2 linked regions of the Tamandua tetradactyla genome follow. The main gene of each other region encodes a partner of the protein of the gene in region 2 in a complex. Links are inferred from orthologs where the notes say so. Each region holds a gene or a part of one and is shown on either strand. Other genes may lie near its edges.

The links. The genes of interacting proteins can lie anywhere in the genome.
Region 1: the proteins of ALK (region 2) and ALKAL2 are in contact, whole or in part, in a cryo-EM structure (PDB 9G5I), measured with the Homo sapiens proteins. The link is inferred for Tamandua tetradactyla from reciprocal best matches to the Homo sapiens genes ALK and ALKAL2. Residues at the interface, in NP_004295.2 of Homo sapiens: Leu684, Tyr739, His755, Ser758, Leu760, Phe856, His857, Glu859, Leu965, Tyr966, Thr967, Pro968, Leu970, Lys971, Val972, Met973, Glu974, Glu978, Asn980, Val992, Glu994, Cys995, His996, Met997, Phe1007, Asp1009; in NP_001002919.2 of Homo sapiens: Ser112, Lys113, His114, His116, Arg117, Leu118, His120, Asn121, Thr122, Arg123, Asp124, Arg133, Arg136, Leu137, Arg140, Leu141.

Annotation. Positions count from the first base shown.
Region 1 is NC_135329.1:43,331,413-43,339,288, reverse strand, and holds the start of ALKAL2 (ALK and LTK ligand 2), read left to right. Parts: upstream 1-4,866; 5' UTR 4,867-5,135; coding exon 5,136-5,394; intron 5,395-6,785; coding exon 6,786-6,839; intron 6,840-6,929; coding exon 6,930-7,010; intron 7,011-7,876. UniProt on the Homo sapiens protein: Cytokine that acts as a physiological ligand for receptor tyrosine kinases LTK and ALK, leading to their activation. Cytokine-binding is sufficient to activate LTK. In contrast, ALKAL2-driven activation of ALK is coupled with heparin-binding to ALK.
Region 2 is NC_135329.1:13,545,495-13,553,060, forward strand, and holds the start of ALK (ALK tyrosine kinase receptor), read right to left. Parts: upstream 3,067-7,566; coding exon 2,771-3,066; intron 1-2,770. UniProt on the Homo sapiens protein: Neuronal receptor tyrosine kinase that is essentially and transiently expressed in specific regions of the central and peripheral nervous systems and plays an important role in the genesis and differentiation of the nervous system.

The DNA.
Region 1 (7,876 bases), about 30 Mb from region 2:
CATTACTTTGCAACATGTACCGCAAAATAGTTCTGTATGAGATGTGTGTCAAGTGGGAAGGGGGTGCAGGACCTTAGAATAGTTTGTTTCCTCTTATTTTAGGGAACAATTAGGCAGAGTGCTATTTAGACTGCTATATATCTTGCAAACATTATTAATTCTAAAGAGTTACATTTATACTAGGGAAATGGGACCTCTTAGAGAATTTGTCTTCCTAGCTCCTTTACACATTTTCTAGTACATTTCTAGGATATTAATGATGTATTGATACTAAAAAATAACAGAATTTGTGAAATTTTAATATTAAGCAATATTTCCTTAGTACATATAATGTTATCCTTTACGAAAGGTAATTATTTTTCTCTCTACTGAGGGATTGTTAAATTCTCTAACTTAATGGTTGACAAATATGTAACAATTCATTTATCTCAATTAATATTCATCTCAAGCAAAATATATACTTTTGTGGGAAAAAAGAAAAATTATGGTAGTTGAAACTTTGGGGTTTAACTCAAAAAAATATCTTGCCCATCTCATGACACAGATGTATAATAAAAGTAAATTAACCAAAACAATTTACCCCCCTCTGGTTAGTTTACTTCCTATGGTCCAATACAGTTTTCTCAAAATGAAAACAAAACTAATCAAATCCAGCAAAAGAAATTATTAGTTATTTTTCCAGTGATTCTGGAATGCAGTTTGATGCTTAATTTTCTCTCTTATCTTTTTCGGCTTTTAGTAGAAAGTTCTTCACTTACTAACGGAGGGAATTAAATTATTTAATATGGATATATCACCTCTTCTTGCCTGAAAACAGGTGGTGAAACTTACAGTGATGATTTCAAGTGAATTTCCTTCAACTTTTTGTAGAAAACATTTCATTTTGTTTTCAGACATTTTTTGGTAACAGTTATAGAACTTTATAGTTTGAAACTTCAGAGACCATCCAACCCCCTCATTTTATAGGAAAAGATACTGATAAAGTAGTTTGTCAAATACAAGTTCAAATTTTCATGTAAGCTTGTCTATGTTTTACTTTGCCTTAACCAAGATAACCAATCAATTTAGTCAATCAGATTGTGTCAACAATGGGCATAATATGCCTATTACTGGTGCTTGAAGAACTCCAAGACATTTTTTTCTGACAATACTATAAATTGAAAACTTCAATACAGTTTAATAAATCAGCGCAGTCTTATCAGTTGCATAAATTGTTAAAGTCTGCAAAATTGACATATAAAATGAGAGGCATCTGGAGTCATTTCAGCACAGAGCTTTGCAAAAATGAATGGATTAATACATGAATTTCTGATTCCTAATTGCCAGACCTCATGAATCCAAATACCAATCAAGCAGAAGCTATGTTGTCATTGTTTATGTATGAAGTTACCTAATGAGTTGGCCTGAAGTATCAGCACACACAGTTGGATGGTAGAAAGGAATCAGAAGATTTATTCACAAAGAATCCCCTTGTCAGTCCCATTAAAAACTGCAAACAAATAAAGGACAATATTAATGACCTGGAAAATTTTCTTTGGTTGGTAGAATGGGGGGAGGTCTTATTGGTACTTTTTAGAAGAAACCTAGCTTTAGTTTAGGAAAATACTATTAAAAAGAAAATATTCTATATAAATTTGAATAATACATGGGCTAATTTCTTGTTGGCATTCTTCACTATGGCAAGGTATTTTTTTTCCAAATCCAGTTCTACAACTAAATATTTTTCACAACAATAGAAGCTTTCCATGTTTCTATAATGCTGGAACTTGCACCACTATAGGAGTCAGGGTAAATTCAGGATGCTGAATGAGACAAGGAAATGAATGTCAGCAAGAGGAAAGCTTCTGTCACTAGGCGTCGCTCTTGCAAGAAGAGCTTACATTTATTTTGATAGAAAGGGGAAAAGGCAGAAAGGAAAATATCTCATTTTATCTGCTTAAGATCAGTCAGGTATGAATTCTCATTGTTTTCTGAATATATTTTAACAGAAACTTTCATATTTTAGTCATACTGGTTGCAAAAAAGAGAAAAAAAAATGTTCAGCCTGATCAAATCATTTGCTTTTAAAGAAAGCAAAATATAAACATATACTCAAAAAGGAGAAAAAGGGCTAGATTTTAATATCTTCCATCTCTACTCTATTTACACCACCCCCCCTCTGCCAAACACATCTTCTTCCAGAGAAAACAGACCATGTGAAGGAAGGGGGATAGAGAGAATAGGTAGAGAGAGAGAGAATACTGCCAAAAAGTTATCGGGAAATCCAGCAACTAAGAGCCTTTTCTATGTCAGTGAAATATTTAGTAGTCTTACACACACATGCACTCTGGCAGCATCTTTGTGTCACTGCCATAGTGTAACCGCCCCTGTTAATGGCGGAGGCTTTTAATTCTTACCCACACTCTCCCTTTCTGGTATCGTACTTAGAACACCTTTCCCAATTAGATCTTCTGCCTTGGAGTACTTCCAGCTCTTGCCCAGAAAGGGCCAATAAAATGGGAAAGTGCTCAATTGATTGATAATACATTTTACAAGAAAAAAAAAATTAAGGAGGTAAATTGTGGAACTACTTCCTTACAGAATTAGCCCTGAAGGCAACTGCTCCAGGCAGGGGAGGTCAAAGATTTCTGTCCTGCAGGTTTTTCAGGGGAAGGTGAAAAGAAATATCAAGTCTACTAGAGGATTCAAACCAAGATTTAACAGGTAGAGTCTGGGTAAGCTGGGGGGCAGTACAGTCTCTGAAGGAACTGGATGTTAGTGTTAACCTACCAACTAGTCCTTTGAGTTGCTTGTACACAGTCATAGACAGAGCCGGTGGGTTCTAGTAAGAGGATGCAGAAGTGGGGAGGCAGTGGGGAATACCTGCACACACCTTTTTTCCTGAAGTGTGTATTTTGTCCTCGTTGTCTCTTTTTTTTCCCCTTCGACAAGCCATTTGCAAGCCCACTGACCATCATCACTGTCCCCCTGCATTCGGTGAAGAGCCGCCTTGGGCAGGGGGCGCTCGCCTGGGCACCAGGACTTGGGACGGTGCAATGTCCTTTAGAGTAGTTCCCCAGCGATGCCATCTGATCCCTCCAAAATAGATAGACTTTAATTGACTTATTAAATGTCGAGGCAATCAAGCAGCCGCTCCTTTTTTAATAGCCCTAAGATCTACATTTAGACAAAAACAGATCCAAGTTCCTGGTAAAGGCGTTTCTTCTCATCCTGTCACAAGTGACAGGAACGAAGGGAAATAGACTGAGAGAGAGAAACGGGGGGGGGGGGGAGGGAGAGATTGTGGCGGGGCGCGGGGAGGGGGGGTTGGTTGTCTGACGAAGATCCACACAAAAGAGTATGAATATTTCAGCGGCTTTTTAACGAGCTTCTAATTAAAGACGCTGGCTTTTGAACCCCCGGGGGACCCACGCCTTACGTCCGCAGGCGCGAGAATAAGAAGCGGCCGAACTGACCCTGCCAGGAGGATCCGAGAAGGGAATTTGGGCGACAGACAGCACTCACTCTGAAGGCGGCCGCGCGGACTTGCCGAGCCTTTCCACCCACTTGGAGTTGACCGTGACACCGGGCGCCGCGGCTCCCAAGCATCCTATGAGGCATATAAGCCGAAGCGCCGCCGGACATGGAGTAGTGGGGCGCGCTACGGCTCCGGGCCGGCGTGTGCAGTGCCCAGCCGTCTAAGCAGACGTCCACGGCTCCCGGGCCGCCGAGGCAGGTAACTCCCGGGCTCCGGCTCGCCGTCCCCCACCCTATGCCGGTCTCTTGGCACAGCTCCGACGTGCAAATGACCAGCAGGCTGGAAGTGGCCCTGGCAGTTAGTTGTTCGCAAAGCGTCTCGGTGGCGCCCCTAAACCTTGGCTCTCGGCTTCCCGCCTCGCCTGCAGGCTGCGGAGGAGCGAGGGGGTTTCGAGAAGCCTGGCAGTCACGGGCGCGGCCGGGCGAGGGGGCGCCACGCGGGGCACCCATCTGGTTGGGGGAGCGGGTGACCACCCTCCCCGTGCCCGAGGCTCCCGAGCGCCTCGCCGCACTCGGGTTCCCGGGTGCCCCGCAGTAGCAGCTTCAACTCCGGGAAGGGCGCTCCAGGCGCGCGGTTCCTCCGCCTTTGAGACTGAGTCTGGGCCGCGGAAAGGGGTTCTGGCAGGGCGCGTCCGCCACTTCGGGTCCCCGGGAGGGCGACGTAGCCGGACAAAAAGGCACTAGCTTAGAAACTTGGTTTGAGACTCCCAAACTGGGCACATGAACACGTACTTATCCAAACTGAATGGGTGCTTTTTTTTGAGGGAGTTGGGGGCACATAAGTGCGGGCGGGTGGTGGTGGTGCGAAACCTTTTCAAAACTGTCGCCCCGCAGGCAGATATGCTAGCCTGAGCCTCATGTATTTTTTTAAAGTTTAAAAAAAAACACGTTGATATTATATATTGGAATATAGAGTCAGATAAGTTAAAAGGGCCAGCCGGATGAGTGAGACTCAGGGAGAGAGCCAACCGGAGGGAAAAGTAGATTTGTAGCCAGGGCATTTGGGGGCGGGGGCCGGAATTTAAAACCGTAAGATGAATGACTGTGCTTCTCATTGTGGAGTGGGATCGTGGGGTGGGGGTCCTAGTGGAGACCTCAATTGACCGACCCTCGGCGATTGTACTTCGCCGACCCTCTCGCACCCCTCCCGACTGAGGAAGGTTGGCGGAGTGGTAGCGCCGCCCGGCCGGGAGGCGACCGGTCAGCGTTAGTCCCCGGAACTTTTAAGGATGCCTTCTTCGCGGGCGCTGGAGGCTCCGAGGCTCGCCTCTCGTGCGGCTCCTTCCGTAGGGCAGTGGGGTGGGGTTGAGGAGAGCGGTGCTCGGGGCGGGCGGCGCGGTGAGCGCCCGGGAGACTGCGTACGCGTGTGCCTGCCAGCACCAGGTGGCCGAATCTGACCACAGTGTAGACGAGGAGTTGGCCACTTCTTCCTCTGGGATCTCAGAGCTTTTTCCCCTTCCTCCGCCAACCCTGACTTTCTCTGTCTCTCCTCCCTTCCCCTCCCCCCATCGCCACCCCCTTCTTTCAGTGAACCTAGAGCCCAGAGAGGGTGTTGGATTATTTTCCAGCTTCATTCCTAACTTAACGCACCATCCTAAGGCTTCCCTGTGCAAATTGAAATGAGCGGACCGAGGCGTCCTGTCCTCCTGGGGCTGGTGTTCTTGCTGATGACAGTGGGACCTTGCCGAGGGAGAACTGAATCTCGAGAAATCACAGACAGACAGACTCTTTTAAACCTCATCATGGAAATCATTCAGGAACTTAAAAAATATCACTTGGGAGAATACAAGAGATTGCAGATTTTCAGCAAACATGACTATACGCTGGGCCGTAGGGAGGTCTCTGACTACGGAGTTTATCCCGAGGAGCAAAGAGTTGGTAAGTCAGCCTCTTCATATATTTATCTCAACAAGTCTCTATAATGTGTGCATGTCTGTGTAATCACGAACTCCTTTTAACGACTTCAATCTTTAGTGTATCTGCGTATCTTTCATATCTAAGACACTAGGAGAAATTGTGTTTGGCTGGAAGTAGAACTGTCTATAAGAAAACACACTTTAAAAAGATCCTGATTTTTTTTTTAAACTAGGAAACATTTTAAAAATGAAAAATAGAAAAAAAGTAGGGGGCGATGTGTAGATAGCTCACATAATCGTAACTAGTCCACATCTAAGCCATATGAATTGCTACCTATGCCATAACTGTGGTGTTATTTTAGAAATGGAAATATTTTCAACGAAGCAGTTGCAACTGAAAAAGAAATGTTTCAGAGCTTTCCCTCTATGGTAGAGCCTTTCTCAGAGTGACTGCCCCATGGGAAATTTCTGAGGAAAGCATGTAAGCTTTTAATGCTTTTCATGACACAATTAGGCCAAATATGATAAGGTCAATTTTATATAGACTGACTTCATTTAAGAGTAAATGAAGACTGACATTAGGGAGATGTCTAAACCTTCGAAGTGAGCAAGGTTCGGATGGAAATGTTCTCTCTTCAAATGAGATGTGGGAAGGATCTAAGAAGTACTTGTGGTAAAATAAATAAAGTGTGACATCACATACAATCATCACTTAAGTTACCAGTTCAGAACAGATAAGTGAAAATGATTAAAGATGACTGTGAATAAACAAAGGCTGCAAACAGAGGGAATGCCAATGAAACCATTGCTATTTACCAAGTGCAAAACAAAAGATATGCTTGGAACAGTCTTTTCCTAGGAATTTTATTTTTATCTTACAAACCAGATTAATGTATACCTCCATTCATTTACACCAGTTCTCATAACAGGTGGTTTTGAAAGCATTCAATACTTCTTCTAAATATGCAGCTGGACAAAGTAAAATTATTTAACAATTTCTTTGGTTGTGTGAAGGATCAGGTTTGCTTCCTAAAACTTTGAGAGGGTGTAGGATTTGATTCACAATCTCTTCAAAACAAAAGCATCTAGAAATGATGTATTCACTGGAAGCTTGTTGTAAAAAAATAATCTTTTTCACCTTATAACTTCACAATCAGTATCCCTATCTTGGTGTTAAGAGACTGGAGAGAAAATATAAGAGCTTTGTGAGCTGCTAAAACTATATGTCTGGGTACAAGTTTTCACATTATAGGTATATAACAACCAAGGAAGGCTCCAGTATGTATTATTTAGTTCAAAGTAATATGGCCAGTGAAGTTTCCAATAACTTTCTTCAACATTCACCTAAGATCATGTGAGGAAAAAAATGCTTCCTTCAGGCAACATGATAATTCGCTTCTTTTCTCTCAACAGAAATTGTTCCTCGAGACCTAAGAATGAAGGACAAGTTCTTAAAACACCTTACAGGTAAGTTTTCTTTACATTCCTTCACGTCTCCTTCAGTTCCTTTGCATCTTGCTGAATCCTCATTATCTGTTTTCCACTTCCATGTTCCAGGTCCTCTTTATTTTAGTCCAAAGTGCAGCAAACACTTTCACAGACTTTATCACAACACCAGGGACTGCACCATTCCTGCATGTAAGTGACAGCATCTGTGTATTGCTTTAATAAATGCTAGGACACTGTAAAGACTGATTGTCTGAAACATGCTTCATGTCCTTTCATTTAATTAAATAGGCCCCTGCCTTCTAAAATGCACATTTGCTAATATTTATTCCTTCTTAACTATAGAGTTAGGAAGGGACAAGGGTGTCCAGACCACTGAAGAAGGTAACTAAATTCTCAGCAGCCAATGACAAAACAGAAAATTATATTCATGGGAATTAGCCTTTGGAATGGGCTGAAACCTGTGATTCACATACTTCTTTGGTTTATGACTTCTGGCATAATGCCTGTATTTGTAACTACTGAACTATGACAGTCAAACAAAAGTTAAGAATGAATTGCTAAAATGACTACTGCTGAGTCACTATACTCTAGGGTGTAAAGTGGATTGGCCTGAACCATTCTGGTTAAACTTTCTTGCCATCCCCACTACGTTGACCAGGGACTTCTTCCAACAGTAATTATAAACTCATCATCCAGGAATTTTATTGTTATTTGAAAATTCTTTTTTTCTGGTTGCCTTCATCACTAGTTCAGAAATGCACAGCTATCCTCATCAGTCTAGCTCATCAGTCTAGCTGTAATTTTCTCTCCTTCTTGTAGGTTTTTTATGACAATGTCCATATTATTGTTTTCTTTTTTCTGGGCATTAATCCATAGCAAAATGTATTTTCCCCAAAAGGGTTCCCATCCTCTTTACACAATGCATAACAAGTACAAGTGATTTATTAGTTAGAGAGACATCTGCTAGAGCTCTAAACTAAACATTTTGTAGGGACTAAAACTTTAATGTCATTTTAGAGCTTGCAAGAGAAAAGTCATGCAGATACATCAGATAT
Region 2 (7,566 bases):
AGTAAAATTTAACATCTTATTTTTTAATAAATGGCAAATATAAGTAGATTACTAATGTAAATAGTATGAAATGTTTCACTTTGCAAACTCCTAGGTTCATGCAAACCATTTGAAGACCCACTGGCATATTCTATTGCTATATTAGAAGATGCACACTCTGAGTGGTTAAGGCTCCTGTTGCTTTGGTCCAGCCCTTTATTCACCTTACAGCAGACTAGGCTTGCCAAGGCAGGCAACTCTTCATTTAGAGTCTAAAGGTTTGCTGCCAATGGGCCCAGGAAAGACCCCTCGCTAAGGTTGGGGAGTCTCCAGCGCCTTGTAACTGCCTCTACCCAAGGAAAGGACTTGGATCATCAATGTATGAGCACCAGTTTCGGTTTTTCTCCTTTTGTTCCTACCTCCTTTGGCGGATTCACCTTTCCCTAGGCTGCACTCTGTCCCCCACCCAGCCCACTGTTGTCCAACAGAAGCAGCTGTTTTCAGTCTGCAAGTAAACCTTCCTTCAGCAGTTAGTGACTCTGCATACAAAGCTATGCATTTCTTCCAGACAAATTGCTGCCACCAGATGTAAAGCCCTAAATGACACCTCGGGGGTGGCTCCTGTGACTAGTAGCACCCCAGATAACCCCATCTTAGCCCCTTCGCTGCACCCTGATTTTGGGTAGCAAGATAATTTATTTTCACCCCTGGTCTTCTCTTTTTCCTGTGACATGGCTGCCCTTTGCAGGCTGTTGCTGCTCCTGTTTCCTCTTTTCTCTCCTTTCTAATATTGACCAACCCTCTCAGCATCTGTTTTTACTTTCCCAAAACTGGACTCTGGAGAGTCCAGTTGAGGGACCTTTTCTCTCTCCAACACTTCCATCCTGACTTCCTCCATCATATTCCTTTAAGATGTTTCCCATAGAAGGAGTGTGGATTTGGATGTCCACAGAATTGTACAGTTTACAAAATGAGCATGGAAGAACATGCACACCTAACACATTCATTTCTTGCTATGGAGTGGGAGTGGATGTGGGCATGATCCCTAAACTCAAAACTCTTTTGCAAGAATCCTGAAGCTCCTTGATGGGACTGCCTGTCAAACACTGCATCTTCAAACCAGGCTACACAGCCTGAGCCTTGCATGCAGTCCTCCAACGGAGGTGACCCAAGTTGAGTATTCAGATTGGCCAGGTCCCATGGGCTGCTCTGCGGAAATAACTGAAGCCTTTTAAGAGAGGTGTCTAAGAGAGCAATTAAAAGGGAATTGCGATTATTGAGCCCAGAGGTAAGATTTCAGAACTGGCCCATAAATCCTGGTCTGACATGAAATTTAAAACTCCCCAATGGTCTCCAATGCCATATTAAAAGGGTTTTAATACTAAGAAGTAGAAATAATGAATGATAATCAGAGTTTTGTTTCTGGGAGTAGCGGCAGCACTGAGGGACAGGTTTGCAGGACACCGTGGGGGGAGGCGTGGTTGTTTTACATCACTCACTTCACAGGAGAGCAATGAAGGAAGGAAGGCTGGTTGGCAGAAGGGCATGAATGAAAGACAGGGAGAGAAATTCCCCAGATAACTCCCTCCCAAGCTCTGCGTAAAACCAAGAGGTGCCGATAAGAGTTTAATATCCAGAACATATAAAGAAATACTACAACTCAACAACAAAAGACAAACAACCCAATTTAAAAATGGGCAAAATATCTGAATTGACATTTCCTCAAGGAAGATATACAAATGGTCAATAAGCACATGAAAAGAAGCCCAACATCATTAGCTACTAGGGAAACACAATTAAAACCACAGTGGCATACCGTTTCACACCTACTGGGATAGTTACTATTAAAAGAAAAACAGGAAAAAAGTGTTGGAGAGGATGTGGAGAAACAGATGCCCTTGTTCACTGTTGGTGAGAATGTAAAATGGCGTCATAGCTGTGGAAAACGGTTTTGGGGTTCCTCAGAAAGGTAAGTATAGAATTATTATAGTGGCAATTCCACTCCTAGGTTACACCCCAAAGAATTGAAAGCAGGGACTTGAACACTGATTGTGACAGCATTATTCATAATTGCCAAAAGATGGAAGCAACCTAAACGTCCATCAACAGATGAAAGGATGAACACAATGTGGTATGTACATATAATGAAATGTATTATTCAGTATTAAACAGGAATGAAGTTCTGATACATGCAACAACATGGATGAATCCCGAAAATATCATCTTCAGTGAAACAAGCCAGACACAAAATGATAAGTATTGTATGCTTTCATTTTCATGAAATAATTAGACTATGCAAAGTCACAGAGTCAGAAACTATGATACAGGTTACCAAGGGCTGGGGCAGGGGTGGGGAGTCGGGAGTTAATGCTTAATTGGTGCAGTTTCTCTTTGGAGTAGTGTAACCGTCTTGGTAATACAGGTGGTGATGGTAGCACATATTGTGAACTTAATGAACCCCATTGAGTTGTATATGTGAAAGTGATTAAAATGGGAAATTTCAGGTTACACATATATTTATACATGTTAACAGAATAAAAAATTTTTAAAGTATAGGACTGTACAACACGGTGAATCCGAATGTACACTACAGACTTCAGTTAATAGTATAACTATAAAAGTCCTTCAGCAATTGTAACAAAAGCTCCCCATCGATACGGTGTCAATCCTGCACGTGAGAGGGAAGTATATGGAACTCTGTATTTCCTGCACTTTTCTATAACCCTACAACTTCTCTAAATAAAAACAAACAACAACAACAAACAGGCTCAGACAGGTCCACGCCTCCTACCCAGCGCTTCCAGGAGTGCGGCATGGGCAGGGATCTGATGGGAAGGTCACTCCTCTGATGGGAAGGTCACTCCAGCGGCTACGCGAACTTCCAGCTGCTTGGCTCCCTCCAGGCTTCCGTAGTCCTCTCAGAGCAACCTCCCTCCAGCCCTGCGGTCTCAGCGTTTGTCCCGGCGGGCTGTGCGCGACTGTCCCGGCGGGCTTTGCGCGACGCCGGCGCAGGGCCCGGCAGTGTGGGGCAGGAGAAAGGTACCAGCTGAGAGTCCAGAAACCCTGGTTCAACAGCCAGTTCTTCATTAGCTGAGTGGCTAATTAAGCTCACCTCATCTTTTTACACACGGCGCCGCTATTTAGGGAGCTCCCTCTCAGGGTTGTTGGAAAGAGTGAAAATGGGGATGAGGGTGGTTTGAAAAGATATGTTATGGTAGGTTTCTGTTGTTTTTGGGTTAAGGTGCCCATCTTGATATGGTCGGTCTCTGGATTTACGTTTGTTCATGTTTTCTTAAAATTTGGCAGTTAAACTCTTAAGTAGATGAGAACTGAAGTTCCTTTAGGTTACTAGATACTAGGACGGTAGGATGCTCTGTGCTCGGAAACACCAGGGCTAGCCCTCGCTGGGGTTTGGACTTTGTGCCTGCAGCCTCTCAGTGCATCATTTATGCCAGTTTGTGGTCATTTAGAATCCCTCCGCCCCATCCCTCTCTCTGTGGCCCCTAATCCTATTCCCACAAACTGTTACCAAAGCAGATTTCCCAGATCCCATATGTTCTGGTTCAAAGCAGCTGATTGGTTTGAACTTGAGTGTGAGACCATGGCACTTCCTGTAGTAAATTTTATCTAACTTGATTTCCAAACTTCAGGGTTTGTCATGTGTGGTAGTCAGGCTGCCCCCCAAGCTTTGAATCATCAGAAAACCAGGCTTTCTGTGGAATGAGATACATATAGGTTTTGGCACCATGCCGGGAATGCAGCAAGTGTTGAACAAATGATGGATTTTTTCTCTGCCAGCACCTGTCATGGATTCAGAACACTGAAGACCCGAAGGCCATGGCAGAGGCCTTTGGCATTTTTGTTAGAGTCACCTTGCAGGTGGAGAAAACTCACCATGTCTCCTCAGATGAAAGTGCTTGATTTACTGCAGACCCACTTACCAGAATATCAAGGGAAGCACTGTCATATGTGTTCCTTAAATCAAGATGTTCAGTGGCTGCCACTTTCCTCTAATCTACTAATCTCTGGACCCCACTGAAGGAGGGGTTTTTGCAGAACTTCTTCTAGGGGACTCTTGGAATCACCACATTCTCTTCTAAAGGTTCCCAAACCACCTGTTCAGCAACTTGTTTAGAATTTGACTGGGGTTAATACTTCTACATTCAAATTTTTTTGATTGACTCCTGAAGTAAACAAAATCCTAAAAATAGAGCATTGAGATCCTTATCTTTATATCTAAAAATAAAATTGGTTATAAAAGGAAAGCTAATCACACTAGCCTAGTTTCCTTTTATAAAGAGAATATATAAAGATTCACTTGAATAGAGCAGTTTATGGTTTGTGTTGGGTTGGGAAAAAGATAAACTGACTTTAAAGAAAAGTTATTGTGTCCATCCAATATGTGGAGAACCTGTTACATAAAAATGTAGAAGTGTTCTAGAGGGAGGGAAAAGAAAAATAAGACAAGAATCCCAACCTTAAGGAATTTGTAGTTGCACAGACTGAAGAATTGGTATGAAATAAAAGGCAAATAAATCCAAGGAAAATATAAGCAATTTTACTGAATTCAGTAAACATTTTATCAGGCACAGTATGTGCCAGGCAATGTGGTAGGTACTAGATATGGATGAAGAGACTAAGTCCCTGCCCTGGAGAACTTCCATTCAAGAGTCTGCATATTGAGGCTGCCTAAATGCTGAGAAGTTTGAAAGTGAGGGAGAGCCCATCAAGGTGTGGATAGGATTAATTAGTTAACTGGAGAAAAGGATTTTGAAGGAAGTTGATGCAGGGAAAGGCATTCCAGTTGGGCATCCCAGCTGGAGGAAAAGCAACACATCAATCCTTCCATCCGGCTCCAGTGAGGAGGGATGAGAGTTTCTTATGAGAGGACAAATTTGGGCTTCTGTCACCTGATTGCTTCAGACTTCTGAAGTTCAAATCCCCCAGTAAGGGGTAATGGCAAAAATGCTGAGAGATGCATAATTCAAGATTAAAATGGAATAGATAATGTTGCAGGTCAGGGAATCTGCTTCAAAATATGACATTCTTCTGGACAGTGTCCACTTAAATGATATGACCCTGAGGACTTTTCCACACTGAGCATCTGCCACCCTACACGATAATTAGCCAGTTACACATTCTCTTTGTTGTTCTTTAAAGATTAACGAGAGACAGTGCTTAAAGCCGGGTTAGATGGAGAAACCCTGAAGGCTTCATTTGAACCTTTTATATCTGCTCCTTTAGGAAACTCTGATGAACAGGTTTTCAATACAACGGCAGCTGTCTGGCTTGTAACCTGCAATATGTCTCGGGTGGAAACTCAGACCTCTCTGGCATGCTGTCTCCCACCATCAGCTTTGAAAGCACATGCACGAAAGCAGCAGAACAGATGTTTGGGCTCTGCAGCAGGGGGAGCACGTTTCATGCCGGGGTAATGGGCATTTTCAGTAAACTGTGCCTCCTTGCTTTGTGCTGAGTTCCTGAGTTACCGGCAAGTAGAAGCTCCAGGTTATCAAGGTGTCACTGTGCAGACACAGCAAGATCTGGCCAATTTGGAGACAAGTTCTCCTTTACTTACTTATTTTGTTCTGTTAGATTTCTGCTTGTTCTCCTCCTGCAGACAGCTAGATGGTGAGTGGAAAATAGGTGATAAAGAGAAAGTTTATTTATCAAAAGGGAGAAAAGGAAAACTAATGGGAGTTTAAATACTCCTAGTTAAAAGTAAGCAGCTGAAAATAATGGAGACAGGAGGGATAAAGAAGGTGCCGGAATAATTAATGCCCTGCTGGAATATAGGAGTCCCTGGCCCTTTAAGATTAGCTCACATGAATGGATTCGGGCTGATTTAGATCTTGCCACTCAGAGTGTTGCCCAATTTGGTCCACTTCCTGCTCTTTTCCCTCTTTCATCTCTGAGTCTGTATTTGGCACCTTTAGTGTCTTGTAAATGCCGAATACCCAGAGGAGCGCAAAGCCCATTAATAGATGATGCTGATGATGCCGATAATCAGAGCTAGGAACTGTGATTGTCTTATAAGCAAAGCATCCGAATAATTGCAGAGCCATCAAGGCTGCAGTGGCATTTTTCCATGCCCTATTCCTGATGAGCATGACCTTGGGACAAGTCAGCTCCTACTGTTCCCCTGGGCTGCATAGCAGGGAAGGTTGGAGCATCTTCTACTAAAAGAAAAACCCCAGAAGGACCTATCACCTCACCACATCTGCTGTCCTGAGTCTTCCCTAGGGACTCCGACCTCCTGCAGCCCCTCTTCCACACTTCTCCATTCTTTAATCCTCCCTCCCAGAACCCCTTTTTGCACTAGGACTCCTTAGGATTTAATGATTTGAGATTCCATGATGCTATGAGTTGAATTATTCCAAATCCCGTCCTCAAGTTTGCTTTAAATAAATATGAGCTCCTTTCAGGCTCACAGGCCTCAGCTTTGGGAGTGACCAGTACCACTAAGTGCAAGTACATCAATCACTGATTGCAGTTGTAGCCCAGAAAGCCCGGGCACTGTCTGCACTCATTTACCTGCGTGGAAGCTGAGAGGGCTATCTAATACACAGACCTTCTGTGTTAGGACGTTGAAACAGTCAAAACTGTTAGGAAAGAACTAGTCTGAGTTCTGAGTTACAACGGAGAGGTAGGACCTTCTGCTCCTCCATCCCGTGGCATTCTGGTTCTGCTTGCACATCAGCTGTCCCTATTGACAGCACATCTCATTTTGCGTGTGAAGACCATATACATCCACTGGGCTCCATCGTCAATCCTGGGCAGCCAGAACTGTCCCCTAACTGTCCAGCAAACACTCCTAACTGCGTAGAATACATAACTTTCTGATTATGAAACAGTGCTTTATCTTCTTAGCAGAGTATGTCTGCTGCCAGGCTCAACCATAGATAAATCTGTTAAGTAGAATTTGTCTCCCATGGGTGAGATGTGAAACACTCTGGATGAGGGATTCAGGAAACGTGGGTTTCCAATTCTACCTTGTTGCTATTAATAGCTAACATTTAATGAGCTCTTATTGTATTAAACACTTCATATCTATTATTTTATTTAACCTTCACCATAACCTTATGAGGTAGGTCTTTCATGATGAGAACACAGAAATTCAGAAAAGTTAAGTGATTTGCTCAAGGTCACACAGCCGATAAAAGACAGATGCAGGCTCTGAACTCAGGACTCAGGTCTGATTGATTTCAAAGCCACTGCTCATAACTGCTACCTACTACTGTCTCCCAAAGCATGTGGCTCTAAGCAAGTCTCTTGGGTGTTTGGGACTTATTTCAAATGTCTTTGTTATATACATATTAAAGGAGTAGGACTCTCTTGAGTCCTCACCCCCAGCTCTCCCATGCTGTGGATCAAGTCCTCACATACCCTTTTTGACCCAGCAGCTTTTTATACCCTACACTCCATTCACAGTTTCCTGGGCTGGGCCCTCTCTCTACTGGACCACTGACATTTATCTCCCCCAAGCGTATGTCATGTGACCCAGCTGGCAACCACATTTCTGGACGAACTCCGTGCTCTTCTACATCATCTTCTGGATGACTGTGAACCTTAAGGGCTGGGTCTGAA